Linked DNA regions of Arabidopsis thaliana. The main gene of each other region encodes a partner of the protein of the gene in region 2 in a complex. Each region holds a gene or a part of one and is shown on either strand. Other genes may lie near its edges. The genes, in order: RS40, SR45, RSZ21 and ATU2AF35A.

The links.
Region 1: SR45 (region 2) and RS40 share a complex: the UniProt entries of both Arabidopsis thaliana proteins name them as parts of the spliceosome.
Region 3: SR45 (region 2) and RSZ21 share a complex: the UniProt entries of both Arabidopsis thaliana proteins name them as parts of the spliceosome.
Region 4: SR45 (region 2) and ATU2AF35A share a complex: the UniProt entries of both Arabidopsis thaliana proteins name them as parts of the spliceosome.

Annotation. Positions count from the first base shown.
Region 1 is NC_003075.7:13,020,815-13,029,245, reverse strand, and holds RS40 (arginine/serine-rich splicing factor 35), read right to left. Parts: upstream 4,749-8,431; 5' UTR 4,569-4,748; intron 4,482-4,568; exon of another isoform or gene 4,415-4,481; intron 4,292-4,414; exon of another isoform or gene 4,084-4,291; 5' UTR 4,079-4,083; coding exon 3,973-4,078; exon of another isoform or gene 3,397-3,972; coding exon of another isoform or gene 3,390-3,396; exon of another isoform or gene 3,234-3,389; coding exon of another isoform or gene 3,191-3,233; coding exon 3,078-3,190; intron 2,990-3,077; coding exon 2,748-2,989; intron 2,675-2,747; coding exon 2,117-2,674; intron 2,037-2,116; coding exon 2,003-2,036; 3' UTR 1,806-2,002; downstream 1-1,805. Other genes in the region: SLK3 (SEUSS-like 3), read right to left, coding at 69-117, 283-414, 497-1,027; AT4G25510 (uncharacterized protein), read left to right, coding at 1,210-1,598, 1,743-1,803; CBF1 (C-repeat/DRE binding factor 1), read left to right, coding at 6,684-7,325. UniProt on the Arabidopsis thaliana protein: Required for constitutive and alternative pre-mRNA splicing. Involved in primary miRNA processing and pri-miRNA biogenesis. Binds both intronless and intron-containing pri-miRNAs.
Region 2 is NC_003070.9:5,675,243-5,683,508, reverse strand, and holds SR45 (arginine/serine-rich 45), read left to right. Parts: upstream 1-4,656; 5' UTR 4,657-4,822; coding exon 4,823-5,022; intron 5,023-5,144; coding exon 5,145-5,216; intron 5,217-5,299; coding exon 5,300-5,382; intron 5,383-5,570; coding exon 5,571-5,617; intron 5,618-5,703; coding exon 5,704-5,784; intron 5,785-5,874; coding exon 5,875-6,043; intron 6,044-6,132; coding exon 6,133-6,355; intron 6,356-6,426; coding exon 6,427-6,492; intron 6,493-6,631; coding exon 6,632-6,781; intron 6,782-7,013; coding exon 7,014-7,080; intron 7,081-7,189; coding exon 7,190-7,227; coding exon of another isoform or gene 7,228-7,231; exon of another isoform or gene 7,232-7,322; coding exon of another isoform or gene 7,323-7,332; exon of another isoform or gene 7,333-7,502; coding exon 7,503-7,584; 3' UTR 7,585-7,661; downstream 7,662-8,266. Other genes in the region: AT1G16630 (uncharacterized protein), read left to right, coding at 1-1,297. UniProt on the Arabidopsis thaliana protein: Involved in 5' and 3' splicing site selection of introns, and may bridge the 5' and 3' components of the spliceosome. Isoform 1 is required during flower petal development and isoform 2 is involved in root growth.
Region 3 is NC_003070.9:8,424,528-8,432,345, forward strand, and holds RSZ21 (RS-containing zinc finger protein 21), read right to left. Parts: upstream 4,959-7,818; 5' UTR 4,734-4,958; intron 4,715-4,733; exon of another isoform or gene 4,658-4,714; 5' UTR 4,638-4,657; coding exon 4,549-4,637; intron 4,477-4,548; coding exon 4,388-4,476; intron 4,292-4,387; coding exon 4,078-4,291; intron 3,873-4,077; coding exon 3,708-3,872; intron 3,571-3,707; coding exon 3,564-3,570; 3' UTR 2,730-3,563; downstream 1-2,729. Other genes in the region: AT1G23840 (uncharacterized protein), read right to left, coding at 1-810; AT1G23850 (uncharacterized protein), read right to left, coding at 1,454-2,518. UniProt on the Arabidopsis thaliana protein: Probably involved in intron recognition and spliceosome assembly.
Region 4 is NC_003070.9:9,612,745-9,619,990, forward strand, and holds ATU2AF35A (U2 snRNP auxiliary factor small subunit), read left to right. Parts: upstream 1-2,162; intron 2,163-2,392; 5' UTR 2,393-2,407; coding exon 2,408-3,298; 3' UTR 3,299-3,613; downstream 3,614-7,246. Other genes in the region: CYCT1;3 (cyclin T 1;3), read left to right, coding at 182-316, 398-570, 648-793, 1,036-1,223; AT1G27640 (uncharacterized protein), read right to left, coding at 1,719-2,162. UniProt on the Arabidopsis thaliana protein: Necessary for the splicing of pre-mRNA. Probably active at the 3' splice sites.

The DNA.
Region 1 (8,431 bases), on a different chromosome or scaffold from region 2:
CTGCTTCATTGTGCTCAAGTAAAGGCACAGAAATACAAGTAAAAACAAGAAATTTGCAACTATCTTACCAAATCCCTTTCCAGACTTAGTGCCGCAAAGATCACACTGCCACATATCCTATAAACAGAATGAGAAGATGATGAACTTATTCATTAAAAAATCAGTGAAGTGAAATTCATAAATAGTACAGGTGGAGTAAAGATGTGTATAGCTAAAGATATGCTGATGCAGAACACAGATATCATAACAGACCAAAACACACAGAGCAAAGACGATACTGACCGGAGCTGCCTGTGGAAACATGCCAAGGGCATGGTGCCCAACACTTTCGTACTGTGACAAGCACAACCTCTGCTTTGCACGAGGTGAGAAGTATTCTGCCACAAATTTCCTCCAATAAGTAATGCAATTTTCCTACAGAAAAGGTATCAGTGATGGGAGAACTTGAATAGATGTGATAAAATAACTAGAAGTCCATAGGTTAGTATTAGCTTACAGCAGGCCGTTGCTGCAGATGATACAAGTACATCATCAATTTCCGAGCACAGACGCCAACTTCATAAGGACGTACATTAGGAGAAATCTGTTGGGTTCCTTGTTGCTGTAACTGCTGTCTCAGCTGCTGCTGTTTCTGAAGTTGGAGTCTCTGAGAGGGTGACATGGATTGAAGCATCTGCTGATGTTGCCTCACTCTCTGCTGCTGAAGCAAAGCTTGCATCTGCGGATTTCTTCCCGTGGGGTCCTGGCGCTGGATCAACTGCTGTAAAATCTGCTGCTGCAACAAGTCTTCTTGCTTCACTTCTAATCTCAGTTTCTTATCTACATGGGAATAACTGTTTTCCCTCATTGGAACTGAACCTTGTCCTGCTTGCTGTTCTAGTAGTTGCCGCTGCTGCTGCTGAGGTAAGTGTTGCATTGAAGGAGATCCATCAAGAACCATTGATCCAGGCAGGTTAATGCCATTCGAAGAGAAAGACATTGGCGAAGTCGGGATATGCAGATTATTGATGCCACTGCTCCTCTGCATATATACAGCTTCGGAACCAAGAGCATCAGTCAATGAGAAACTCGATTCGATAGCTCCAGGAGAGCATACAGAGATCAAGACGTCCAATACAAGGACGGATTCAGAGGAATGAAAAGCTTGACTCTTTAAAGCGTCCTCTCAGAATCTCTGACCCAAATAACAAAGCCAAACGGATTCTAGCTATGATTAATCATTCAGGATCCAAGTATTACGAAGATTTAGCTGAAGGAAATGAAAACCAAATCAGAAGACGAAAAGGCGAATTTTTCATAACACTCGAAAGCCCTATACTATCAGACGAGCATATCTCAAAGGGTAAAACTTACCAACAAAAGACTAAAACTTCAAATCCAATGGGCAACTCAAATCAAAACCCAGAAAGTTTCAACCAAGTAGACTCTCTCGACTTGCACGAATCCCAACGATCAGAAAATTGGAGAAACCCAGTAGACAAAGAGATCATTAAACTCTACAGCAGCATTTTACTTGGTAACAAATATACTAAAGCAGACGACCAATGTAGGCAGAACTATAAGTCTATTTGTAGCCAATATTTATATTTGAGTCAAAGGTTAGGGACTAGTTCGAACGTTGACAAGAGGCGTTTAGAGTAGTTTTTAGACCCAATTAAGTCAATAGAACCGTTCTTGCCTTCCATAATTTCGGCGTACCATTTAAGTTACTTAACGATGCGTTCGATTTTGTCACTCTCAAGGTGTTTCGATGCAAGATGTTTTGAGGTTCGCATCTTATTGTCACGGGAAAGCATTACATGATTGGGGTTCAAACTGAGAGGTGATAAAAAAAAACGGAAATGTAGTAACTTGACATAAGTTTTTCAATCCGACAATAAAAGTGATCCGAGTTCGAATCTATCAAAAACCAAACGACAAAAACTAATCACGACGACATAGCGTTGTTGACTACAAACAGTTACAACATCCTACTTTGATAGAGATTGTGGATCCACTCTTATCACTCGTCAGCTGGTGGCGAACGAGGAGACCGGCTGCAACAACAAGAGAAATGGTTTACGATTCATGTCATCAATAATATATAAACAAGTATCGACCTATTTCAGAATCTAACCTCTTCTGCATTGGGCTCTCTGCACCATCATACCCACCATCACTGTCTCTTCTTCCTATTGACCCAGGGCTTTCAACTTGGCCATTCTCGGGGCTAGACCTCGATCTCTCTCTCCTTTCAATGGGACTTTCAACTTCACCAACCCCATTTCTCGGACTCTCCTTCTTGAACGGGCTGTGATTAGGGCTCATCCTCTCTCTCTTGTTGTTGGGACTGCGGCTGTACTTAGTAGGGCTTGCGACTCTCTCCCTCCTGCGAGGGCTATCATTGCCTCTGCGGTCACGACCATACTCGGGACTGCCACGTCTTGATTTCTTGTAAGGACTTGGGCTACGTCTTCGACCATAGTCAGGACTGGTCCTTTCCTTTCTGTAGGCAGCAACAGGACTAGCTCCTCGGCCATAATCAGGGCTTCCTCTTTCTCTTTTGTAAGGACTAGGTGATCGCCTTCTCCTTTCAGGTGACCTATCACGGCGTCTTTCAGGACTGTGTCCATTTCCTCTAGCATCATCATCCTTCACAGCATACTCCACCGAGATCACCTTATCCATCAGCTTACTGAATGAAAACACAGATGAAACGTGAGTCTAAGAAAGGAAAGTGATTAGATACTAAAATGGACAGAACAAACCTGTTATTTGAAGCATCCAATGCTCTGGTGGCATCCTCTTGTGCCTCGTACTGGATAAATGCAAAATTCCTCCTGATCCTAACGTTTACGATCTTTCCATACGGCTCAAAGTGTTTCTCTAGATCCCGGGTCCTAGTATTATCCGCATCAAAGTTAATCACAAAGAGAGTCTTGGAAGGTCTCATGCTGGATGAGGATCTCCTTGAACCACCACCAGATCTTTTATCACCTCCACGTTCACTCTATATACACAGAACCATTTATGTTATCAGTATTTCAAACCTCATAACTAAGTCTGGAAAGAAATAAATCCTGGGGTAAGTATCCTACCTTTGTCCATTCAACACGAAGTCTGCGTCCCTTACGCCCAAATTCAAAGCGGTCAAGTGCTCGGATGGCATCTTCCGCATCCCTTTCATCTTCCATGTATACAAAAGCAAACCCTGGAGAAAAAAGAAAAAGCCAAAAGCAAAGATCTGAGTACATTAACAGTGAGGAAGTGGACCAGATTAAGAACCTTCAACATACACGAACACTGTCCTCCCTCCTTCAACGCCTAACTTAACTCCTAGAACATATTAAATTTTGAACATTCCTAGAACCTTAAAAAAACTCCAAATGACCAGTGAAGCAGTTACAGACCTTGCATTATGGAATTAATATGTCAAGGAACAACTGAAAATGTGGAAGTCAGACGGGGATATGAATGAAAATAGAGAGCCTTCTCCATTGCAGAGGCATGTCCAAGTGTGCAAAGTGATGAGGAATGAAATGCAATTAAGATGGCAGTGCTAATGCGGATGGAAAGTGACTGATTTTGAGGGATAAGAGATGGATTTCCCTATGGTCCATTCATGGCCAGGTGTGAGTATAGGCGTCCCAAGATTATCAAACACATCCTGCGTCAAAGAAAATGCGGTTTTACACTAATTTTTTTTCTAAAAATCTTATTCCTCTGAAGTACTTTCCAAAGTTCAAGCAGGCTGCATCAGGTGGCCAGGTGAATGTGGTCAATGTTTAGTACTCCTTCCAAAGGGAGATAGTCCACCAGAGCCTTCTCGTGGATGGAATGAAGACGAGAGTGGATTTCATGAAATGCATTTGAATTTCGCTTTTTCATTGTACTTAGTGGATAACAATACTGCTTATTATAATTCATTCAGGTTAACCACAAAGACAGAGTAGTAAGAGGCAGAAGAAAGAAAGAAAGAAAAAAAAGGCTCACCAGCTTTCATATCAACCCTCTCAACCTTGCCGTATTTCCTGAATAGTCGTTCCAGGTCACCTTCGCGCGCATCATACTCAAAGTTCCCACAGAAGACTGGCTTCATGCTTCCTGTATAGACAACCACAATAGTAAAAAAGATTCATGAGACTTCCTTAAATGATAATTTAAACACGAATATCACAACTAATTTGTCACCAAGATGAAAACTTTTAACACTAAAAACTAGAGCCCTCACACTAAATCGAATTGTTTTGCAGTAAATTAGGACTTGAAACTCATCTATTCGAGCTCCAAATCAGTTAAATCTAGGAACTGAACTAGACAGTATTAGAATCAAAAGTACAATGCAACAGATCTAATCTAACTACAGTTAGATCTGAATATCATTCACAAGATAGAGAAAACGAGAACAATCCACGAAAGCATGAATCTTTCATACCAGAAAAACAAAGAAGGCTCTGATGAGATTCAACTTATAAAAAACGAGATGGACCAATTCTCTTGTTCTACTTTTCACCAACCAAAAAAAAAAGAAGGAAGAAGGAGATGAGAACCACGACGATATAGAGAGTGAATAAACTGCATCAATTTACCTGTAGAATGATTTTGGCAGGCGTAGTCGCGTGGAAGCCCTAGAAGAAGAAGAAGCTCGCGTCGAGAGATAGGTGAAACTGAAAACAGAGTTAGGTACGATTTAGATAAAGAAGGCAAGAGAGATCATTTGGATTTTTATTTTATTTTCTTTTCTTTTTAGTTTCAAAGATATTTTTTTCAGAACACATTTTGACTTTCTTATTTTGTCTGAAGGACGAGAAGTCGAGAACGTCTACTTTTTAGGAGTATTGGGCCTATATGTTAAACAAATTATAAGAAGCCCAACAAGTAAACAAAATTGAAGCTGCTTTCTAAAAAAACAAAACAATAACAGATTATGAAGACAAACAAATATTAGATTTTTTAATTTTGATTAGAATATACTGATTAATAGAACTAGAACATGTATCACATAACATCTACACAATGAATAATGCATACAAGTTTTTAAAAAGTCTTGCAACTTAACACTCTCAAGATCCCACATGTCAAGTTTTGGATTCGATGAAACATATGAGTTTGTTAGTAAGTTTAATAATTGTTGTTATAAAGAAATGTGTATATTTATATATTACAATTAATTAAATAAATTGTTTTCCTCTTCATTGGATTGCTTCACTTATGTTAAGAGTTTAGTAGTTGCTTTCAAGGCCGAATGATATGTGGCCACGAACATATCATCACACGTGGAATGAGAACGAGTTTCGACTTTTCAAATATGCCATAAAGCCTCAATTATCTTCTTATCTCGCTTGAATATGCAACAAAAAGCTATTAAGATATTCATAAAATAGAGGCGTCTCAAATCTACCAACAAAAAGCTACAAAAGATCCAGTCCAATCCACTGAAGAATCCCAAAACAGAGTAGAAACCCAAACAACCCGATTCAGCAAATAATTCAAAAACGAACGTCCGTACGATTTTCCAAAAACAGAAAGATGGGTTCCACAAGATAATGCGTGGGGACGTCAAAATCCTCTAAACCCGTGGTTCGGCCGCGGAAACACTGTCCCTACCTTCCCCACCAGCCTTCACTGGCCCCATACGTCACTCTCAAGCTTTACTTTCTATTTTCCACTAAAGCCAATTTTGTTGTTTTCTTCACCTTACCACTCTTTTTTTCCCTCTTTGTTGTGTCTTCTTTTCTCCTAAATGTCAATAACGTGAGAGCGAGAGGTAACGAGAGAGATATTTTTGTCAGCGAATATATTTCATGCATATCTTATTGTGAAGATTTTTTATACCTTTTTTTTGTCAATACAATATAGCTATTATTGAGATTGAGATATTTTGTGGGAATTATTGGGATTCAAGATAACTTGCTATTTTGTATTGGTCTAATCCTTCGCTTAGTCCTGTCCTGGTCCATTTACATGTTTTTGGTTATAGTTTGTTTAAACTGAATAATTTTGTTCATCATATGCATTTATGACTCATTTTTAACCGTCCATCGAAATTGATAATTATCCATTACCAAATCTGATTAATTTTTTTAAAAAATCAAGCTTTTCTATATTGTAGTATTATTTTTGGTTAAATATTAGGACATCTACTTCCAATACAAATACTACATGAGTATTTAAAATATCATTTCACAGAGATATTTATGTCTATTATGTTATAGACGGGTGACAATTAATGACAATTTGTTTATTCATAGGAATTTAAAAACGATTGTAACAACAGCAGCCAGCCAACCACACAGGCACACACTCGATAGAATTTAAAGAACTCATAAAGGTTAACGAGTGAAGAGTCAAAAGTCTCTTTACAAGGGTCAAAGGACACACGTCAGACAGCGAGTGGAACATCGTGGGATTGCTTCGCTATGTACTATACACGTGTCATTCACAGAGACAAAAACTCCGTGTGCTCCCCACATATCCGTTATCTCTCCTCCGGCCAATATAAACACCAATTCTCACTCTCACTTTTTATACTAACTACACACTTGAAAAAGAATCTACCTGAAAAGAAAAAAAAGAGAGAGAGATATAAATAGCTTTACCAAGACAGATATACTATCTTTTATTAATCCAAAAAGACTGAGAACTCTAGTAACTACGTACTACTTAAACCTTATCCAGTTTCTTGAAACAGAGTACTCTGATCAATGAACTCATTTTCAGCTTTTTCTGAAATGTTTGGCTCCGATTACGAGCCTCAAGGCGGAGATTATTGTCCGACGTTGGCCACGAGTTGTCCGAAGAAACCGGCGGGCCGTAAGAAGTTTCGTGAGACTCGTCACCCAATTTACAGAGGAGTTCGTCAAAGAAACTCCGGTAAGTGGGTTTCTGAAGTGAGAGAGCCAAACAAGAAAACCAGGATTTGGCTCGGGACTTTCCAAACCGCTGAGATGGCAGCTCGTGCTCACGACGTCGCTGCATTAGCCCTCCGTGGCCGATCAGCATGTCTCAACTTCGCTGACTCGGCTTGGCGGCTACGAATCCCGGAGTCAACATGCGCCAAGGATATCCAAAAAGCGGCTGCTGAAGCGGCGTTGGCTTTTCAAGATGAGACGTGTGATACGACGACCACGAATCATGGCCTGGACATGGAGGAGACGATGGTGGAAGCTATTTATACACCGGAACAGAGCGAAGGTGCGTTTTATATGGATGAGGAGACAATGTTTGGGATGCCGACTTTGTTGGATAATATGGCTGAAGGCATGCTTTTACCGCCGCCGTCTGTTCAATGGAATCATAATTATGACGGCGAAGGAGATGGTGACGTGTCGCTTTGGAGTTACTAATATTCGATAGTCGTTTCCATTTTTGTACTATAGTTTGAAAATATTCTAGTTCCTTTTTTTAGAATGGTTCCTTCATTTTATTTTATTTTATTGTTGTAGAAACGAGTGGAAAATAATTCAATACAAAACAAATCGTTTTCTACTTCTTTGCTTCACATAAGTTAAAAGTCAAATATTTAACAAAAAAGATATTAAAAGTCATATTGTAGTTGCTTTCAAGGCAAAATATGTGGACAGATCATTACACGTGGATGATGTTTGTAAATATGCCACAAAACCTGCATTACATTATTTTATTCTATCTCATGTAAGTTACAGATCTTACAATTTAGCAACAGAAAGCCACAAAATATTACATAAATTGGCTCGTCTCGAATCTAGCAACCAAAAAAATTCAGCCCAGTTCACTATAAAGAATATAAAAAAAAGTTTCCTAAAATAGTGTATAAAACCGAAACAAACTAATTCAACAAACCCGAAATAAACAAATCCGTACGACAACCAAAAATATCTTTCAGATGGGTTCCACAAGATAACCCAGTGCCAATCAGAATTCTGAAAGCGTGGCTCGACCGCGGAAACCATTGTCCATACCTTCTCTTCTTTGTCCCCCCTTACGTGGCTCGCTGTGGAGTCTCGTACCACGTGTCGCGTCACTTCACTCTTTACTTTCTATTTTCCACTAAAATCATAATTTGTCTTTTTCTTGACCATACCCACTCTTTTTTCTTCTCGTTGTCGTCTTGCTTCTCCTAAATATCTCAAATAACGTGAGAGACTTGAGTGTGAGAGGTAGGTAACGAGGCAGACTTTTTTTGGAAGCGAATATAACTTATGCTGATATTTTATTTAGCTTTCTGATTGGAGTTGAGATATTATATAGGTATTATTGAGATATTATATACGTATTATTGAGATTTGAGATATTTTGTAGATTTTATAGTTCTATCGGACTAATTCTTGGCTTAATCCACTAACATGTTTTTGTTTAGTTAATTAAACTGATTATTTTCTGCGCTATAGTTTTGTTAAACACCTTTTAGACGTAACAAAGCAATTACGCTTGATCATCCATCGTAGACTCTTTTTCTTTTTTTACATCTCAT
Region 2 (8,266 bases):
ATCATCATTTGTGTATCTTGATAAGCTGGTCTCAAGTCTACGAGAAGAGGAGGGAAGTGTTCCTTTTCAATTTCATAACTTGACAGTTCTTTTGGAAGACAAAAGGTTGTCTGATGCTGTTTTCCAGTCAACTAGTGTTGAAATCATTGTTGATGGGTTCATAGTGGATAGCTTAGAAGTGGATATAGAAGAAGTGAATGTTGGTCATCAGGAACCTGAAGAAGAATCGGAAAACAGTGGTGAAATCAGTCTTGAAGCTGTCTACGAAGAAGATGATAATGAAGTCGAGCAGGAGAATGAAGAAGGAAAGGTAAACTTAGAAATTGTTGATGAATGTGATGAGCAGGCTGAGATCAAGATAGCTACAGATACAGAGGTGAACGGAGGTGAAAGGTATTCAGAATCTCTTTCTGAAGAAGGACATGGTGGCCAAGAAACTGATGTTGTTGAAGGGCAGGAAGAATATGAAGAAAATGACCAGAATAACATGGAAGAAGCTGAATCCGACGCACAACTGCTTGACGATGTGCAGTCTGCTGCAATCAGTAGTAACCAGCAAGAACAAACCGGAGTAGCCAATGTTGAAACTGTACAAGAAGAAGAAGGTGTTGGGGAAATTGCTGGAGGTAGCCTCAGTGTTTCAGAAGAAGCTACAGATGTTGAACATGACGGTAATGAAGTAGAAGAAGAAGAGAGTGGGTTTGGTGAAGTTGTTAATGATGCAGGTTCGGAGGACATTTTGTTGAGTGGCCAGAAGAAAGTGTTAGTCTTGTTTTCGACTATGATGGTTATACTTGCAGCAGTAGCAGCTGGTTTCCTATTAGCCAAGAAGAAGACAAAACCTGTGATGCTGCAACATGAAGATGGCGAACCAACAGCAATCTCTGCAACTAAAGTTGTCGAGCATGTGCCAGTAGAGAATCTGATCAGAGAAAGGCTTTCTTCATTGAATTTCAAGGAAGAAGAAGAAGAAGTTGGTGATGACAGAAAAAGAGAGGTATCATCATTCCCTTCTGAGATGAGTTTCAGCTTCAGTAAGAACAAACCATTACACAGCTGCAGCAACAAGAAAGATGATCTTAAAGAACATCAAAGCGGAGGAGGAGGCAAGAAGAGTAATGATAGCGGTGAATCCATGGCTTCCTCTGCATCAGAGTACTCCATAGGTTCTGTTTCATATGGAAGTTTCACAACATATGAGAAGATACAAAAGAGAAGTGGTCACGAAGAGAAAGAGATGATAACACCTGTGAGACGTTCAAGCAGGATCAGGAACCATCAACATTCTGGACAATGAGTTAGAATTAGCTTTTGACTTTATGATCTACTGATTTGTAGGAAGGCTTTTCCATCTCACTGAAGCTTAATTAGTATGTTGCTTTCTTAATTAGTAGGTTTGATTCTCTTCTTTAAAGTTTCTGGCTTTACTATTTGTTTAAGACATTGTACCCCAACCTTGTGGCCTAGTTTTAATAATATTGTTCATGTTATCTGAATCCTCTTCTTTGTATCTTGCAAAAACGATGGACAATTTTCAAACACCATGATTCATGATTGTAAAAGGTTTTGCAAGAATAGGACCAAATGGCGTTGGAAGTGTTTTATGATGATAAATCAGATTAGTTTATATAGATGTAGAAGTGTCAATTGGGCTGTCCAAAGCCCATTGGTCATGTCCACTTGGACCATTTTTTTCATGGGTTTTATTGGTTGGTCTTTAATGGACAATGGTCTAAAAATTTGTCCAAGACCATTAAAGACCATTGTCCAATGGTCAGCCCATGGCCAGCCCATACAATGATGTTTATATACAATGCATTTTCACACAATCTCGTCAAAAGCTCTATTTATAAAACCATAACATCAACATGAAATCAAACATGCATGTACCTGTTCTTCCCAGTCTTGTAATCAACCGTGACAACTCAAACACGCATCTAAGACTCTCTATATGCACCTACAAGTAAAGAAAAAAGCCTACAATGGCTACATGGAGAATGATTTAACAGAGAAACCCATTTCAATACTACTCCAACATCTAGAAATTGGAAACCAGAAGTGGCCATCTTCAATAAGCTTAGGTAAAACAATAAGCTTAAACAACATTTCCACAATGTAATCAATCACAAATGATTATAAGTAAGAGACAAAATCCAGAATCAATTCCAAACCAAAATCTGTCATCCAAGTTGCAACCTTAGACCGGATACCATCACAACCTATAACAATCTGTCAAAGACATACATCATCAAATCAGCCATGTACTGAGAATAATAAACACATAACCATAGGCTCAGAGCTTAAGAGAACAACCATGTACTTGTTTCTTCCCAGTCTTGAAACGTTCATGCAAGGGTGGTGTTTGTGTCCTCTTGACCTTGGATCTCATCAGTTTCTTCAATAAGAAAAACCGAGCTATTAATCTAAAAGCTGCAGTCCAAAAGCCATATAAGTTTACTATTATAAACGAGTTCAAGATGTGAATATTACCAACTTCTTGAAATCCACGAAACCAGTTTCTAGTACATAGGAGGGCTTGCACATTAGTAGGTAAAAGGCAGCTTCTATATTTGTTAAGCACACGACTACCTATACTAAAAGCTGATTCCGATGCCACGGTAGTGATCGGAATGCTTAAGATATCACATGCCATCGATGACAATTCTTTAAAACGCGAGACATTGTTTTTCCAATATGCAATAACATCCATATCTCTAAAAGAGACCATATCTAACACAGGCTCTTCCAAGTACATATCTAATGGTGATTTTCCAGTTCCATTTCTTTCAGAAAAGTAAGAGTAAAACCCCTGAAATATGACCAACAAAACAAAATTCTCACTAAGTATAAGAATGCATTTTCAGAAGCATTATGCTTTAAAATGCTTTGCATAGTATCATTTGCAGAAGCATTATCTACAGTTAAAGTAAAAACTTTCTTCTCAATTCCCCAATCTTTCAACAGCTCACTAAGCTTCATTGCTATAGCTACTCCAGAATGTGGAGGCGGGAAAGCACAGAAAGATAAGATCTTCGTTTTCAGAACACCATCAACATCTACATAATGAGCTGTTAAGCAAATATAACTTTCAACAGTTAAAGCTCTCCACAAATCTGTTGTTAAGCATATTCTACCCGGGATTATAGCTAACTTTTCCTTAAGCTTAATTTTCTCTCTTTCATAAATCTTGTAGACATCAGAAGCTGCAGTATTTCTGCTCCAAAATTCTATATAAGGGTTAGCATATGTAAAGGCTTCTCTAATTCTTTCATATTCGACAAACGAATATGGAAGATTATGTTGAACTAAAGCCACTGCAATCATTTCTCTAAAGACCATCATATCCACCTTTCTGCTAATTCTAGGTGTACTTCCAGGAGTCTTCTCACAAGATCTCATATGACGATTCATGGTATTAGTACCATTTCGTCTCAGATTCAAGTGATAAGTCTGCTCACAATATTTGCATGTAACCTCAGTTTTCCCATTAGGATATTTCTGTCCTCTATCGAAGTTTTTCCAGCATGCAGCACGAAATCTACTTACACTACTTTTACCTCTCTCAGCTGTCCCTGAAGAAGCAGTTTCATGAGGTAGTATCTGATCCATTTCTGGATCTTCATGGTCCATTTCTTGATCCTCAAGATTAAAGTTGTCTTCATCAACCAAGTTTTGAGTATCCAATTCCATATTTCTGAAACAAATAAAGACATACACACGTTTAGCAGTGATAAACAAATAAAGCATGAACTTGACTAAATCACTAGCCTTCTGGAATAATTAAGCATGAACTTACAACACAAAGGGTCTCTACATATTGATGTGCTTCAATTCATAATGAAATTCGAAATGGCGAAACATAAACAAAATCTGAAAAGTGCCCATTTGCTAGCTAGCTCTCCTCATATCCAAAATTCACAATTGAACTTTGGACAAACCCACAAGCTAGTAGAACTAACCGGAGTAGGAGTTGAGAGAGAGGTCGAGCTTGGTCGTCGCCGAGAGAGAGCTTTGTCGCCGGGAGAGAGAGCGTCGTTGCCGAAAGAGAGAGAAGAGAAAAAAATTTATGTGTTGAAAAAATTGATGGGCCAACCATAAACCGTGTGGGCTAGCCCATTAAACCCATGGACAAAATTGGTCTTTAGACCATATAGCCCGTTTTCATTACGGGCCGACCATGGACTGTCCATAATGTTGTGGACTGGGCTTAGCCCATGGTCAGATGACCATTTGACACTTCTATATAGATGTATGAATAAACCTTAATGGTTTCGGTGTTATTCAATGACTAGATTCAATCTAAGATACTTTGATTTTGAGATTGCTCTTAAGTTTGTACCAAGGCAACAACAATATCAACAAATTATGGGACAACAAGAGAGCTATAGAAAAATGGTATCTAATTGATCCTAATTGGATGGTGTACACGACCACAGACAATCGATTACAACATTTTATAAGTTGTTGAATTTTTTATGGGAGTTACTAGCTTTTCTGTTTGAATTTTCCTGTAGGATTTGAAGAACTTTTGATTAGTGACACATTCAAATCTGATATGAAAAATGGGAAAGGACACAAATTGAGCTCATTATGGTATTTATACTTTATAAAATGCTTTAAAAAACATATAAATCCCTCAATTTATCAAGCAAATAAAAACCTGCCACGTATCATCTTCGGTTTAATTTGCAGTCCGCGGAAAAAAAAAGGAGACTGGAAAAAAAAAGTCACAGTCTGTCTGTCTGTCTCTCTCCTCTAATCTTTTTTATCCGCTAGGGTTTTGAAGCAAGGTTTCTCGCGATTTTCTCGATATCTCTCGCCCATGGCGAAACCAAGTCGTGGCCGTCGTTCCCCCTCCGTGTCTGGCTCGTCATCTCGTTCCAGTTCCAGATCTCGTTCGGGTTCGAGCCCCTCCAGGTCTATTTCCCGCTCACGCTCCCGTTCTAGATCGCTCTCTTCATCTTCATCTCCTTCGCGAAGCGTCAGTTCTGGGAGTCGCAGTCCTCCACGTCGTGGAAAAAGGTTAGGGTTTCTTTCAATCACTTACCAATTGTTCGAATTGGATTTGTGTAATTTCGCTTTCATTCTTCTTGGTTCGTTCAGCTCGAATTCGAATTGATGTTCTGATGTATCTTCTTGTGTAGTCCTGCTGGACCTGCTAGGCGAGGTCGCTCTCCTCCTCCTCCACCATCTAAAGGAGCATCTTCACCTTCCAAGTAATATCTGACTCGTTCACATAAATATATTCTAGTGTTTATGCTTTCGTCATTACTGACTTTACAATCTTTTATGCTTTCAGGAAAGCTGTTCAAGAATCTCTTGTTCTCCATGTTGATTCTCTTAGCAGGAATGTGAATGAAGCCCATCTCAAAGAAATCTTTGGTATGTTGATTTCTCTTTTCTCTGTTTCTTCTGCTTCTTCTAATCTTACTACATGATAACTGTCTACACATGTCCGCTAATGTCATCAGTAGTGTATACGGCATTACGATCATCACTGGTCTTTTGTTTTCCTTGTGTTGGCTAAATGTTAAGTCTTATAACATGGCTTGGTTTCATGTTATTATTAGGCAACTTTGGTGAAGTTATACATGTCGAAATTGCGATGGATCGAGCTGTAAGTTGCTATTCTCTTTACTCTCTGTTGTTTACTTGCATCACTTGTTGAAATCTGCTCATAATTCCTTTGAATATTATTAACAGGTTAATCTTCCAAGAGGACATGGTTATGTTGAGTTCAAGGCAAGAGCTGATGCTGAGAAAGCTCAGCTCTACATGGATGGTGTATGTCTCTTTCCAATTATGAAATGCACTGTACTTGACATATTGACAGAGAAGATTTATGCATGTTTTTTTTTTGTTCACTGAACACAGGCCCAAATTGATGGAAAGGTTGTTAAAGCAACGTTCACACTACCACCTCGTCAGAAAGTATCTTCACCCCCTAAACCTGTCTCAGCTGCACCAAAAAGAGATGCTCCAAAATCTGATAATGCTGCTGCTGACGCTGAGAAAGATGGTGGTCCCAGGCGCCCAAGAGAGAGTATGTCAAATCCTTATATTTTGGTTATTTATAATTGTTGTAGTATATGCTTTATGTTGTGTTAATTAGTATCATCAATATGTGCTTAGCATCTCCTCAACGGAAAACAGGGCTTTCTCCGAGAAGGCGATCACCTCTACCTAGGAGAGGCTTATCACCTAGAAGGCGATCACCTGATTCTCCCCATCGCCGGAGGCCGGGCTCTCCTATCCGCCGTCGCGGTGATACACCTCCTAGACGTAGGCCAGCATCACCATCTAGAGGCCGTTCTCCATCTTCTCCCCCTCCAAGACGATATAGATCTCCTCCAAGGTTAGTTATGGCACCATCTGTTTTGTCTGGTGTGTTTCAGATTCGATAGCTCACCTTTTATCTGTCAGCAGGGGCTCCCCTAGAAGAATTCGTGGCAGTCCTGTTCGAAGAAGGTCTCCTCTTCCTCTAAGACGAAGGTATGTCTATTTGGTACCTGAATTACACCCTTAGTAATCGAAGTTTAGGAATCACAGCTTTATAGACTATATTACTCAGTAAATTAGACCGGGAAAAATGTGTCAGTTTTATATATGTTTTGTATTCGGCGTGTTTCAGGTCTCCACCTCCAAGGAGACTACGCAGTCCTCCCAGAAGATCTCCAATCCGTAGGCGTAGCCGATCCCCAATTCGTAGGCCTGGTCGCTCTCGTTCAAGTTCCATCTCACCCCGCAAGTATGTTGGAACTCATTTAAACTTTTTTCTGGGGTCTCTCTCGTGGGTTTTATTTTGTTACAGATGCATAGCTAAGACTGATTCATAACAAGTTTTTAAGTCTTTCATAATTCATGAGTATACCCCAAGATCCTACATTGTCTTATCCTTTTACCTAGGTTTCTGACATACCAGCTCCTAGAGACGTTGATACCCAATATGACTAAGTTATATAGATCCGTCTGGGGTTTGTTCATGAATTAATTTTGTCTTTAACTGTAAGCAGGGGACGAGGTCCAGCTGGGAGACGTGGGAGGTCATCTTCTTACTCTAGTTCACCAAGTCCCAGAAGGGTAAGGGCTTCTTGCAGATCCCTTTTTAGCTATAAAATTTTTGATGCCTTGCGAGTTATATGTCTTGACTCTTGACTTTCTATCATTTGTGCATTATTAAACCTTACAGATTCCTAGGAAGATTTCAAGGAGCCGCAGTCCTAAGAGGTAAACACTTTCTGTCTTAACACTAATCCTCGTCTTAAACTGGAAACACTTTATAGTCTGTAGAATGCATTAATTGAAGAAGTTCCAATGTTAAGTTATGTATAGTAAAGTTAAGGGTTACCCCAATTCCTGATAAAAGACATAGCATAAACATCTGGGACCTATACTTTCTTGGTGAGTTTGGTGATGAAACAGAGAAAAATAGAATTGTTGTGTAGAAATTTTTTGCGTTGAAGTCTAATAAAAGAAAATGGGTTGTTGTTGGGTATGTTTAGGCCACTGAGAGGAAAAAGAAGCAGCAGTAACAGCAGCAGCAGCAGTTCACCGCCACCACCACCTCCACCTCGTAAAACTTAAAGGTGATAAAAATTAAAAAAAAAAAAAAAAAAACTTGAGTCTTGATGTAGCTCTCTTTCTCCATCTTTATCGTTATCATCTGTCTCAGCCTCTTTTCTTAGAACAGATAAAATGTTTACCAGTGACCAAATGAGAGTTGTGGTTTTTGTAGTGTTTGGATGTTTAATCTTCTTTTGTGGATCTCCTCATTAGATGCAACGATAATGACTTGGTTCTTTTAGCTGGTTGTAATTCCCTAATATATTCAGTCTTGTTGAAGAATGGCTGGCTCCTTCACCCTTTTCTTATTATTTTAGTTAAAAGAGAAAGAAATCCATACAAAGACTGGTGATCCAAATACACAAGAAATTGGTTTTTTGTTTCATTCAGAGAAATAAATAATTATAATTTAAGGGCTCCTAAGATGCACAACAACAATTTTGCATCAAACCATGCATCTTAATGAGAGTGCACAAACTTTTATTTAAAACGAAAAATAGAGTTTTCCTCAACTTCACACAGTACATACCACTCAAAGAAAATAAATATACATACCACTCTGCAAGTGCCCATATGGGGAAGATGTTTCTGTAGGTAACATAGTTTAGAAAACAGTTCTTCATGAACACTCCTGTCATTTCCTGCACAACAGAGCAACAACTCTGTTTTTATAATCTAATAAATACACACACCATTCTCTGAT
Region 3 (7,818 bases), 2.8 Mb from region 2:
AAGAGCGCCGACCAAGAACACTAGCATCATCCAGAAGTCACGCTTCTCTTGTCCTCTTAAGTACCAAGCTGAAAGAGACAGAGCACTACTTCCATAGATGCCTTTACTATCTTCTTCCTCTTCTAAGACCGAAACAACCATACTAATGTTCCATCCCGCGCTCCACTTGCTGAACTTTGCAGCCAGAACTATGAAGACAGTACCATGAATCAGAACTACCACCACATCCAACAGAACCACTGCTTGTTCAAGGAATCTTTGGTCTTGCACCACTGCTTGATTAAAGAATATTTGTTGTTCGAGTGTGAGAGAAGCAAAATATAAGTAGATGGTCGAACCAGAGAACAAACCGAGGAAAACAGAGGTCGACAAGAGAAGGACATAGAGAGATGTGATCAGACAACCTCCTACTTTGTTCTGACATAGCTTGAAAGATCTCCCTACCAAATAAAGCAACCCTAACGGCTCTTCCTCAGATGTGTAAGCAATCGATGATGCTGCAACGATCGTGGTGGTGGTAAGGAGGTCAAGAATAGTATAGGGAAAGAAGTAGAGCAGAGTTGTCTGAATCAGCCAAGGAAGAAGATCATTCTCCGACAAGTCCTCCTCAGAATTGACTAGTTTGGAGATGTATGTGGAAGCGAGTGAGACAGTGGTTTGGAGGGAGAGCTCGAAGAAGATCAAGAAACAAAACAGTGGGAGAGAGCAAAGAAAGAGGAAGAGAGCGAGATTGATGTTACCAAAGAGTAGCTTAAGAGCTCGTTTTAGTAGTTCGATGACACTTAGCTTCTCCTCGCTCTTTGTCTCCATTTGTTGATCTCTTTCTCACAATAGAAGAAGAGAGGTCACAGATCTGTATGTGTAGTGGTGGAACATGTAATTGGTAATAAGTCTTTGAGTAATTTAATGGTCGTCCTTCATTGACGTTGACTTCTTGACTTGGTCTATAAGTCACTGTATGTAATGTTTGATTAGTAGTGGGGTTTTACTAGATAAGCTTCAAGTCTTAGATTGTCAATTTAGAACTATTTACACTTTGTTGTAATTAAATTATATGGAAATTAGCAAAAAACTTGATCGAAGTATTAGAGATAACAGTGAAAGCCTAACTATGAAGTGAAGTCAGTTAATCTAAGACGTGTGTCCAATATCATTCTTATGAAAACATATATTTAGAATTTTTTATTTCGTTTTTTTTTTATGTTAGAGATAAGATAAAATTAAGCTTTACATTGTATAAGTGTACATGATCAAACACAACTCAATAATATAACTTTCAATAAATACTTGGCCAAGCCATGAACACTGATAGTCTCACACAACAATACATTGGGATATGACCTTAATGGCTTAAACGGAGCAACTATAAGGAAAGCTTGAAGAGGCCAGAGCTATTGGTCATGTAGAAATTGTTTAAGATTCGAGAGCTTTGGTTTGATCTAAGACAATTTATCTATGCAACAAAAGTCTTACCTTTTGATCCAATCTCCACATCACCTTTCTTCTCCAAAACGCTAGTTCTACAATCTTCATAAAACACTACACAAGCCACCCATTTGATCATATTCCCAACACAGATCAAACCCACATAGAAACTCGTGTACAACACTCTGTTTCCATTGGAACTCTCCGTGCATTTGAAACAAAAACATGGCATCCTCATCGCAATAGCGAAGACCAAGAACACCAGCATCACTTGGAGACCACGCTTCTCATGTCCTTTTCCATAGTTAGAAGACAGTGTCAAGGCATCGGTTCCATATATGCTTTGACCATTTTCTTCCTCTTCTAACACCGAAACAACCAAACCCATGTTCCATCCCGCACTCCACTTGCTGAACATCGCCAGTAAACCGAGAAAGATAGCACCGTGAAACATAGCTAAAACCGCATCAAACAACATCTTTACCGGACTGTTGACACTGCTGCTTCTGTAATAGCCTTCGGCATCTTCTTCAATGTTTATAGAATAGTAGTATGAGTTTTCGCCTGATCCGGTCAGAGAAATGATGTGGAAATAGTTCGTTGCTACAAATAAGAAGCCAAAGAAAACAGGGGTTGACAAGAGAAGGACGTACAGAGAGGTGATCAGACAACCTTCAAGTCTGTTTTGACATATCTCTACCGTTCTCCGAACCAATTGACCGAACCTTAACGGTTCCTCCTCCGACGTGTGAACAGTCCAAGATGCAGAGACTATTGTGGTGGTGGTGAAGAGGTCTATGAGGCCGTACGGGAACAAGTAGAGTAGAAATGTCTGGATAAGCAATGGAATCAGATTCTCCAAGACGGAAGCATCTTGAGGAACGTAGTAGTAATCCCAATTAGTGAGTTGTCGAACGAGGTATTGAGAAGCGAGTGAGACAGTGGTTTGGAGTGAAAGCTCGAAGAAGATCAAGAAACAAAAGAGGGGGAGAGAGCAAAGGAAGAGGAAGAGAACAAGATTGATGTTACCACATAGAAGCTTTGTTGCTCGTTTGAGTATGTTGATGAAACCTAGATCCTCCTCAATCTTCATCTTCTTTCACAGTTCTCTTCTTCTCTACAAAGAAAAAGGGAGAGTACAGATCTACTACAGTTTTTTATTCGTAAATATGGAGTCGTTTCTTCATTGACGTTGACGTAAGAATTGGTATACCAACAAATCTGAACCAAATTGCCTCAAAACCAAATTTAGAAAAGTATTAAAATGAAAACATGTGGCGGCCGAAGAAGAACAGATTAAAAGTCGAGATTAATTGGGAAAAGAAAAGCATAAGTGGGAAACCAAATCATGAACACAAAAGACTAAGCTAACACGTTTTTCACAAGCAATATAAAAAAGAAGCATCCACAAATGGGTTTAATTTAATGTAAGTGTGTGATCCACCAACAGATGTGTAACAAAGTTGACCGAAAAACAAAAGTGAGTAGAGAAACCAAGTGGTGATATAGCAGCCGAGAGCTAGGAAGAGGACGGGGTGAAGAAACAGATTCGTCTTTCTCAATAGAAGCTTGGTTGCAGACTTGGGGTAGGAGTGGTGAGTAAAGAGCAGGGCAATCTAAAAGTCACACAATGTAACAAGCAAATTCTAGCTGATGTTGGTCGAGTTGAGGATGCAGATTCATGATAAAACTAAGTTGTGGGGAGAGTAAGATGCAGCTGTGCTGCCAAGAGATCCCCGATAAATCATACCTCACAAGGGAAAAAGAGTGGAAACAGTTGAGCTTTTTAGATATGTCTATATAATAAGGAAAGTGCATTCAACAAGAGACAAAACATTTATGGATACGAAAGAACGACCTCAAGTGTAGGGGTTCAAGGACGCTGTGTGAAGACAGCAGGCCAGTGCGTGTTATAGAGAATAAGTCAAGACGGCTGTTGGAAAACAGCATGAAGGAGAACTCACCAAATCCAATTGTCTAATAAAACTCGAACATACCATGACATGTCCATGCTCAACAACCAAACCTAGAAGAGCTAATACCATAATAGCAGATATAAAGATCTATCCTAAAAGGCGCCACAGAGTAGATATAGCATCATAGCTTAGTAATAGCTTCTTTCTCTTCAGGGTCCAGTTTCACACCCTGCAGAAACGCAAACGAATATATACCTTATATCAAAATACTTCAAATGTTATTCACATCTACATAGACAATGCTGAAGTTGAGTCATGCAGATTGAGAAAGTAAACCTAAATCCAAGAAGAGAAAAGAACTTTTACCCATTGGCATATGGCGAACGTCGACCATAGGGCGAGTCTCTGCGGCGAGGAGAATCACGGCGTGAACCACGATAAGGAGGGGATCTGCTGTAGCTCCTCCCACGGCGAGGTGGAGTAACACTGCGACGCCTTGGAGGAGATCTTCTTCCACGCGGGCTTATACTCCTGAACAAAATCAATTCCACAGGAACAAAAATGTATGTCACAAAGCGATTATAACATCAAGAAAGGTACTATCAACATTAACAACTCAGCCCCTATACATGATTACAAAGTGCAATTTCAATGGATATGTTAACACAATGGACATACTAATGACATACTATCTCATCTAAGCAGCTCAATAAGAATGTTTCCGTTGGATCGTTACCTGCGAGCATACCCATAATCTGGACTCCTACGACGACGGGGACTAGGGCTTCTACGCCTCACAGAGCCTCGACCACGGCGACACTCGCGAGCAAAATGTCCAAGCTCACCACACTCATAGCACTTGGAATCCTCAATACCTCCACGACGACCACCACCACCTCCACGACCTCCTTTATCTTTATGAGAAAGCTCCACACGCCACCCATTCTTTCCTGAAGTATACGCCACAAGAGTAAAACTTTTCAATGACCAAACAATAATACAAACATTACATGGTAACTAAGAGGTCTAATGAGAAGAACACTAACGATCCAATGCGCTGATTGCATCCAAAGCATCTCTTTCGTCATCGAACTCGAGGAATGCGTAGCCAGGAGGTCTACGAGCTACCCAGACACTGCGATTTTTAAGATTCAGAGTCATAATTCGTATGGCTTGAAACAAAATTGAGTACAGAGATAGGACTTACTTGCGAAGAACACCGAAGGCCTTGAATTCGTCTTCGAGTTCTCTTTCGGTGACGCGTGGGTCCAAATTCCCGACATAAACCCTCGTCATGTTGCAAAGATCAGTTGAATCTGAACGAAAGAGAATCGAATTTTGTGAAGAAATATGGATATCGATAATAGTTACAGCGAGTAGTTAACAAGGTACCTGAGATTCTTGGTCCTGAGCAGCGAAGCGGGATGTTTTAGGGTTCAGACTCAGACTACGGCGAGGAAAGAGAGTAACCAAGTTATTTCATTATTATATGAAAACTGAAAAGTAAAAAAAAATTAACATCATATATTATTTGGTCATTTATTAGTTATTTCATGGTCCCTTATTTTTCGGTAATCCATATATTCATAAACAAAGTTTTAGCGACCAAAATGTAAGACTAGTCTCCCATAGTCGATTAGTTAACGTAAAAAGAGAATTGAGGTGAAAGCGGATTTTGAAACTATGCAAAACATCTTTGACAACAAAAGTTATGCAAACATGTTTCTAGAGTTTGATGTCTAATTACTGTAACTTGACGTGATTCTCAGTCTGAAAAAAACTAATGGGCCTAAAACCCATAACCTTTTGGTTAAAATTTTAAAAATATGAGCAAGTTTCAGTTGCTTAATGGCCCATATGAGTTGGTTTTGGTTTTCAACTTTTGCATCAGTACTTGTATCTTCTTAAATTTTCAAAATATAGTAGGCTGATTAAATCTAAGTTTGGAGTTGGCAAGTGTAACAATTGTTAGTTTTACATATACCTTACCAATTTACACATGATTGGGCACCTAATTCATGTGAACAAGTCTCTAAACGATTGCACACACACAAAAAAAAAAGAGTCTCATTGTTTAAAATTGCGTCGACGTAAATAGAAAAGGTTTCATCATCCCACCAAAAACAAAAAGACACTTATCCATTGGGGAAAACATTCTGAACCAAGATAAGTCATGCTGGGTCCCACTTACATCGACTCCTCTAAGACTGTGTCTTTGACACGTGTTTAGTTATGATTCGTTTATTTGCAGCCACTGTGTAGACCCCACTTACCTCCTTTTACAAAATCGACATTCAATTTACACGTGTCGCTATTCCCTGGCTTGTCCCTTAAGCTGGACATGGGAGGAATAAGATACTCTTTAATTTTTGGATGGCTATGGCTAAATAGATGGCTCAGAAGAAATAAGATGGCCATAACTTCATTCGTTATCCAAAGCTAACATTAATTGGTTAGTATCAAAATTTCTAAAATTGTGAAATATTTATAGAATATTAGTATTTAAAATTATATCTAATTGTATAAAAATTTTGGGGAGTGATTATTAGTGTCATGTTACTTATTGTAACTATCGTTGTGCATATCAATAAAAATATACGGATTTCAATTTTAAACCTCACATTTACAGATATTTAGTTAGATATTTAAAAGGGATATCTGCAAAATGGACAATATAGATATTCGATTTTTTTTATCGTAGTTAACAAATGCATGATATCATGTATCATATTTACACATACTATTCTTTTTTTTTTAAGTCTAGTAAAACGGATAACGGGTTGAAGAAGGATAAAAACATTTGTATCCAGCCAAGCCCTAAATTGGTATTGTCAAGTGGAAGAGCAAGAAAAGTAAAGAAGAAGAAAGTGTCAATCTGATTCGGATCCAATTACCCAATCCTCGTTGGCTTCCTAAACAACGTGAAAACAAAACACGGCTTATATATGTCAACGTTATTTACATTGACACTTGGAACCATTAACACCAAATGGGGATAATATCGTAAAATAACACATGGTTAGTACTTTAGTGACAATCCTAATGCTGCTTTGTCCCTTGGGGGGTTTGAGAGGCCACCCTGACCTACGTGGTGCCCTTTTAATATCAATACATTCCCGATAATGTGTGCTTACATGTTTTAATTATCTTAGTTTAGTCATATAATAATGACTTCGCTTTTAACTATATTATATTTACTATATGTAATATGTACATGCATGTTGCATTCCCAATGATGTTTGTTCCATTTTTATGTCTTTATCTAAGACTTTTAGTAAGACAAGATAACTCTAATGATCTTTCTTTTTTGTTAAAGTAAGAATATATATCGATTCAATTCATCTTATCAATATGGATATAGTCTTAGATCGTGTGTAGAAGTTTTGTTTTTTGACCAATACATTAAATTGTTTTAGTCTTTTTTTTTTTTTTTTTGCCAACGGATTATGATAATTATTTCTTAAAACGTTACCTGCACTTTGTAGAGATGTGACTAGTCGGTATTTTTTTTGTTAACATGAAACGACTTGTCGTCAACATTAGATTTTTGTATACATGGACACCGCCACTTTGATATAAATTTCTCATGTCTTACCAAATCATAGATTCAATATAGCTACTTAAACTATACATTGAAATATTTTTAAAATACATAAAAACAAAAACTGGAACCGTAAACAAAATTGATGGGATGTTTTTTTATTTGTTTCACGGGAAAAGTTTGTAGAATTTAAGCATGCTACATGCAATGTTAAAAACTGTTGTATATTGTAATTTATTTACACCATTAACATTTTATATTGTGTAAACTTAATGATTTGGCACCAGAGTTGAGTTTTTCTTAGAGTCATGTTTACGGAAAATCTGATTCATTTTGGATAAACTCGTAAACGATAGCTCATTATAAAACTAACCAAACTATCATTTTATTAAAGTAATAAAAAAGTTGACCAGTACCAATATACGACCTATACAGAGTAGGTTTGATGAGATCTCATAATCTCTTAAATTAAATACAAATTTAGCATTACCTTTAGATTGGATTAAGGATTAAAATTATTTCATTTGTTTCAGCCGAAAAAAGAAAATGGTCCACCACATTATCTAGTCATCATCTGATCTACTACCAAACCCTACAATAAGAAGATAATAAGAGGATTGAGGGTAATAATGTCATTTACATACACCTTTATATTATTTTATTGCCAAAATTAGAAAAATAGATCGTAAGAAAACGTGTATATGTGCATTTGGTATTATGTTATTCGGTTTTTATATTTTTCTTGTCTCTCATTAAATTTTCTTCTCTATCCAAACTCTGTATAGCCTGTCCCCAAAGAGTCTCGAGTCCTTATCGTGAACTTTTTTGTTCATTCATCTGTTCCACGAAGAAAACAATTTAGATTTCTCCGTTGAAGTTTTTCGCCGGCGATTTAGTGATTCTCGGAGAAGAAGGTGAGTAGCAATAGTGTGATTT
Region 4 (7,246 bases), 3.9 Mb from region 2:
AATAGTCTGCAACAGATATATTGATTCTTCTTACAAAATTTGGGTTATGAGCAATATAATGTTGATGAAAACAAGTCAAAAGTGGTTATTTAATAGTTATTCAGTCTTCCTGGTTAATTAGAAGTGTATATGATTGCTGCTAAATATTTCCACTTCGGTTTCTCACTCGGTGATTTTGCAGACAATAGCGACTTCCAGTCTGTTCCTCGCTTGCAAAGCTGAAGATGAGCCATGTCAACTGTCCAGTGTCGTTGTAGCGTCTTATGAAATAATTTATGAGTGGGATCCTTCTGCCTCAATTAGAATCCATCAAACTGTAAGTGTATACATACATCTATGTATTGGTAAATTCGCACTGTGCATTTTGCTAATTTATTACATGTTGCTCTGCCTGTAGGAGTGTTATCATGAATTTAAAGAAATTATTTTGTCCGGGGAAAGTCTTCTGCTGAGCACAAGTGCTTTCCATTTAGACATTGAACTTCCCTACAAACCTCTGGCTGCGGCTTTGAATAGACTGAACGCTTGGCCTGACCTTGCAACAGCTGCATGGAATTTTGTGCATGACTGGTAAAGACCCTTGTTAATAATATCTGCCCGATTTTTCCCCTACATTGAGTTTGAATCTTATTATGCATTGTGTGTAGGATTCGAACCACACTATGCTTGCAGTACAAACCCCATGTTATTGCAACAGCCACTGTGCACCTAGCTGCTACGTTTCAGAATGCGAAAGTAGGCAGCAGGAGAGATTGGTGGTTGGAGTTTGGAGTTACAACTAAGCTATTAAAAGGTTTGCTGTTCAAACTCTATTTTTTCCTCTGGTATTATTGCAGTCATTTGATCAAGTGAGATGTAGTGTTTCTATAATGTTAGCGCTAGGAATATGTGGTACTGTAGCTCCAGCTCATGTTAGGTTCTTACCCTGTGCACATATTGAGTTTGGAATTAGGTAGTGGCCTGAACGAAGAGATGTGCTGCTATTGATTTTAGCGGTTGATTAAAAATAATTGGATGTTTTCATTATGGTGACAGAGGTAATCCAGGAGATGTGCACACTGATAGAAGTGGACAGAAGGAGGAATATGCCACCTCCACCTCCACCTCCAAGAAGAGAGTTAAGTTGGGCAATACCTGCAGCCGTAAAGCCGGTCCATATGGCTAGAGCTTATCCGTTTCACAGCTACCCTTTGCAGTCCTATAGACAGGCTGGCATCTGGTGAGCCATTGTTGAGCAGCATGAAGATGTAATCTCTCTTAGAGTCTTGAGTTGGTTTAGCAATAAAAGATTTCCGTAGAGACTCATGAGAGAGGCAGTGTAGCATTATATAGAGATCCGAGTGAGGTGCTTCTGTCTAAGTTAAGCGTCTCATGTATGACCAAAGTGGATTCTCTCGAGATTCTTGGTCTCTGTTCTCGATAGAGAGAGATTATGTATAGAAGTGTCCCATTCACATGTTATAATACTAGCTGACTTTATATCGTTTGTATATCTGGAATCTATGTTTTTGGTTTCTTTAAAAAGTTTAAAGTTGTTTTGATTTTGACTAATTCTCTCATTGTTAAGTAATTTGGTTTTTGATGAAGTGCTATTAGGTCTGTGTTGAGTTGAGACTTGAGACGAACACAATCATCATATGATCAAGCTTATACCGATCGGATAAGTAATTAACCGGTTCAATTAACTACACCTAGCTTATACCGATCGTATAAACCGGTCAAGAACCAAAACCGCTTGGTTTCCATTCTAGACCAAACCGGATTCTAGTTTCCATTATTATTATCTTTTTTATCGGATTAAAAATATAAATCCTTATGTCAGGAGATCCCATTCTCTGTCTCTCTGTCTTTCTCCCCCAACTCGCGAACAAAGCAAACCCTAGATCATCCATCGGCGAGTGAGACGGCAGCTCCTCGTCGGTAATTCCTTCCACCGGCGGCGACCACTCACCCTCAGATCTCTCAATCCCACTCATCTCTGTAACATTCTGTACGCTTTCTCTCTCTCTTTCTTCGCTTTTGTGATCTATTACGGCTCGGTCTCTGTGCCTCCCAGCTCTATTTTGGAGCACTGCTTCGTCTCTGTGTTTATTTGGCTCCTTTGTGTGTTTCTCTATCTCTGCTTTTCTTTTGTATTGCTCTGTTTCCGATTTTATATCCATATGTCTCTGGTTATTTGGTTATATCTATGTGTGATTCTTTGTTCTTTTTTCCATTGAATTCAATAGCTGACTAAGATCTCTGCCTTTTATCTTCAATAGTTGCTCAATCTTTTCGCTTTCGTAACATAATTTAGTTTCTTGTTGATGTTTTTGATATCTACCAATCTCTTTTCAATTTATGTCTATATGTTGCTAAATATCTTGTTCAATGACTGATTTCTTAAACTCAGGGTGGAAATTCTGCCATGGCGGAGCATTTGGCTTCAATCTTTGGTACTGAGAAAGACAGAGTGAATTGCCCTTTCTACTTCAAGATTGGCGCTTGCCGTCATGGTGACCGGTGCTCGCGTCTTCACAACCGTCCTACCATCTCCCCAACACTCCTTCTTTCAAACATGTACCAAAGGCCTGACATGATTACCCCTGGTGTTGACGCTCAGGGCCAACCACTCGACCCGCGTAAGATTCAGGAGCACTTTGAGGATTTCTTTGAGGATCTTTTTGAGGAGCTTGGAAAGTTTGGCGAGATAGAGAGCCTCAACATTTGTGACAACCTTGCTGACCACATGATTGGCAACGTATATGTTCAGTTTAAGGAAGAGGATCAGGCTGCAGCTGCTTTGCAGGCTCTGCAAGGTAGGTTCTATTCAGGACGTCCCATCATTGCTGATTTCTCTCCTGTGACGGATTTCCGCGAAGCCACGTGTAGGCAGTATGAAGAAAACAACTGCAACCGTGGTGGGTACTGTAATTTCATGCATGTGAAGCTTGTTTCGAGGGAACTAAGGAGAAAACTCTTTGGGAGATATCGGCGATCATACCGCAGAGGAAGTAGAAGCAGGAGCAGAAGCAGGAGTATTAGCCCCAGGAACAAGAGAGATAATGACCGACGTGATCCTTCTCACAGGGAATTCAGTCATCGGGACAGAGATCGCGAGTTTTACCGTCATGGAAGTGGAAAAAGGAGCAGTGAGAGGTCGGAGAGGCAAGAGAGGGACGGTTCAAGGGGTAGGAGACAAGCAAGCCCTAAACGAGGAGGGAGCCCGGGTGGCGGGAGGGAAGGAAGTGAGGAGAGGAGGGCAAGGATTGAGCAATGGAACAGAGAACGGGAGGAGAAGGAAGAGGGAGGAGCATAAAAACAGTTGTTTACTCAAATCACAATTGCTGCTATGTGGTTTCTGCGTCTGCTTCTCTGCGTTTATTCTGAAATCGGTAAAATCTGGTGATGGATTTTTCATTTGGCTGTTCTAATTTGGAACTTGAAATGAGTGGAATCAACTTCTTTAGATTATAAAATGTTTGGGGTTACTTTCTTGTAGTTTTGATTAGGAAAAACCGCTCTGTCCCCTTGTTATTGATTTTCACCAGTGTTCTTTAGAACTTTGTACTATCTTCTGTTGGTTAAAACTTAAAAGAGTTCTAGTTTAATTCGAAGTTGTCTATTGTTCTTCAATGCTTGGGAATACTAACGAGTTTCTGTGTCATGGTTCAGTTGTGGCACTAATTCGGGTCAAAGCACCTCAGAATTTTAGACAAAGATAAGGGGCAAACACTTTGGGCCTTTGATTGCATTGATTTGTGTTCCAAACACGTCAGAAGTTAAGTCTTTTTCTAAACCAGTTATCGAATGGGTTAGTCTTGGTTGCCATTTTTCAAACATACTGGCTTCCAATTGGTCATGCCAAATATGTAGCTTACTAGACCTATATACTTTCCAAAATTACTTCATAAGCTGTTTGTCTAATTCACGCAATGAATACATATATGCATAAAATACTCCATATGAGTAAAAAGATGTATAATATAGCGGAATATATAACAGAAGTCGACAATGCAATATACATCAACCCTAAACCATAAAATCATGAAGGTCATTTTGGCTTGTAGGCGTCGTCGAGTCCCTCTTCAGTGATCGTTGTGGTTCTTCTGGACAGAATATTCAAATGGTCATATAACTCATAACTCCCAAACGGCCAAACCATTGTTCTAATTGTGATGACGAGTCAAACCACTAATCACAATAAATTAATTACTTTTTTTTTTGTCCCACACATGTTCACAAATATATGTTTAGTTAAAAAACTCAGAATTAATCAATTACAATGCATTAAAATATCGCTACCACCGTCACACCACCCCAATACATCCGTCCGATCTAGCATCAACACCCACAGCCCATCCCATTGACACGGCGGTGTCATTTCTAAAGCATCAAACAAAACATGTCATTGTTTATTCTTACTTTACATTGACTGAATAGTCTGAATTAACATAATATATATATATATATATATTTACGGAATTTTATCATATGAATTCTCAGTTATGGAGATTAGTAGTTCAATAGATTGGCCACGTGGAGAAGTCTTTGCCGTCTTCGCTTGAGTGGATATATTATAGTAATAAAACCCATACGATATCTTGTTAACTTTTTAAAAGTTTTCTTACATCAAAAATATACAAGATATCAAAGTTCAAAAATTAGAAATCTGAAAGATCGTAGCTACATAGTGAAAGATGGATTGTTGAACAGCGTTATAAAGTCACATTAATTCCATGTAATAATAATACCTCAAAATCTCAAATACAACACATGCACGTGTCTAGCTTGCTGCGTTTCTATATACATTATGCAACTGAAAATCGAATTATAATGATACTAAAATGAAATATATGATCTTAAATTTGTTATTGTTAGGAAAATATAAAGATGAGGAATGGGGAAAGTCTGTTGGACAGTGATGCCCTAAATTTGAGAAAGCATATATTCCCCTGCTCTAAAGCCTTTGTCCTCTTCTTAGACAACTTTAAAATAAATAATAATGCTTTCCCATACTTTTTAGGACCCTCCTTTTAAGGCCTTTGTTCTCTACTTTTTTCTATTTGACCCCCAACAAAAAGAGATTATCTTTTCATTTTTTCGTAACATAAAAATAATTTATGATTGACCAACTACGACTATCTATCTTTAATTTCTTTTGAAATCAATTTAATCATGAACCATTGTCAGTACATAGCCTTAGCATCGCCTTTCCTGTCAAAGGATGCAATTTTGTTATGTTTTGGTAGTTTAATTGAAAACTCGTCATAGTAGACAGATATAAATATTTCTCTTCATCTCTTTTTTGTGCTTATGTTATATGAATCAAATGAGTATCCCATTAAGTAAAAGAGAATGAATCAAAGCAGTTATAATAATACAAAAAAGGAAGATTGTAGAGTTATATATTATTAAAAGTTCAAAACATTGAGAAAAAGTAAATGTAAAGATCAAAGCTTCAAGTGTTGAGAAGCATGGCACCTAGGTGGTCTAGTAGACTTTGGTTATAAATTTCAAGTAAAAGAAAAAATGATCAGCACACGAATTTTTTTGTGCCAACCAGTAATAGCAACTCAATGATGTGTACACTAATTGACAAACAAAAACTGAAAACAAACTTTGCTTTATATACCATTACTATTAGTATTACTACATCTAATTAATACCATTGATATTTATTACTTAAATCTTCAAATATTATTTTCTATATATTCCTCTACATATTAATTTATATTTATCAATTTTATAGTTTAATAAAATCATAAATAATTTGAAGCAAAGACTTCGTTAATTATACTTATAAAGTGATGTGTTATGAAAGCGATTGGATGATTGAACCCTGATTGGTAACAGATGTAAAACAAATTTAGCTCCTACACCTAATACTATACTTTTGAAATTAATACTTAAATTTCTTACAGAACTTTTAAAAAGAGACACAAAATATAATAGATTAACACAATATAGTTTTTTAAGATCTAAGGTCAAGTTGGATAATGGATAGAGGGAGCCCATCATTTCTTAATCTTCCGGTACATATGGTGTATCTAAGTGGTCATCAGGTAGTTTGTTATAAATGAGACCATGGACGTAATTAGTGCAACCTTAGTTTCTATATTTTGCATATTGTATCTATTAGTTTGGCTCCATATAATGATTCCAAGGACAATCAAATATACAAATAGACACATTACAATAAAAATTTTATTGATGCAAGTAGATACTCTGACAATCCGCGTGGTTAGTTAGGTATAGGGCTTGATGACACTCTAGAATTTCAGGACGTAAATTCGAAGAGACTCTATTTTTGATTCTCTTGACGAATAATTAAGTTGTGCATGGGCCATTCGTGCTCGGGTTAGGAGTTATTGTACATGATAAGCTTGTTCAACAAGAGTTCGTTCATCTTCGAGATTAATCGAATTAGATCCAGATTACTGCTACAAAATAAAATAGATATTGGAATACATAAATTTGTTTTAAATATTAGAAACATAACAAGAATATAAAGAAGGTGAGATATGTGAGCGTGCAAGTAGAGACGAGAAAGAAACATAAAAAGTGAAAACAAAGTTTTTCCCATACTCTTTTTGATCTCAACACATTCTCCAACGTGCCTTTCTTCTGATGTGAGTCTTGTTGCTCTCTTTTTATATCTGGTTGATCTATTTTTCATTTCTTTTATACTTGTGAATTATTATGAACTAACTAATTGATCGATTAAGTTAGTTGTTTTCCACACTATTAATTAGTTAATTAATTAAACATTCTTTTTAGATGCGATCGAATTGGTGACAGCTTTATCAACAGTACAATACTCATTTTCGTAACTTATTGCACTTTTGAGTCACACTAGATAAGGAATCATTTATGTATAAAATGAGTTCTTCGCTCTTCTAAAAGCGTTCATTTCAACCAAAAAAAAAAAAAAACAGCCAACCATAACATCAGAATATGAAGCATGTTCTTTCCAAAACCAATAACACAAATTACATTGCACGACACATATTATGTAACAACCAATAAAAGTTCGCCGCCTCTTCTATATGCTAATAATGACAATCAACTAGCACCTTGCCAAGTTATTATCTCTTGCATAATTTTTTTGCTCTATCTCTACTTACTATTGATTGTAATAGTTATCCCCTCCTTTCATTGAATGTCTCTGATGGTTATGGAATTGAAATTATGTCGGACTTTCTCTAGTGTTCCGATATAGTGACTTCGACCTTAAAACACGCTTATAAGTCAATACATGGCAGAT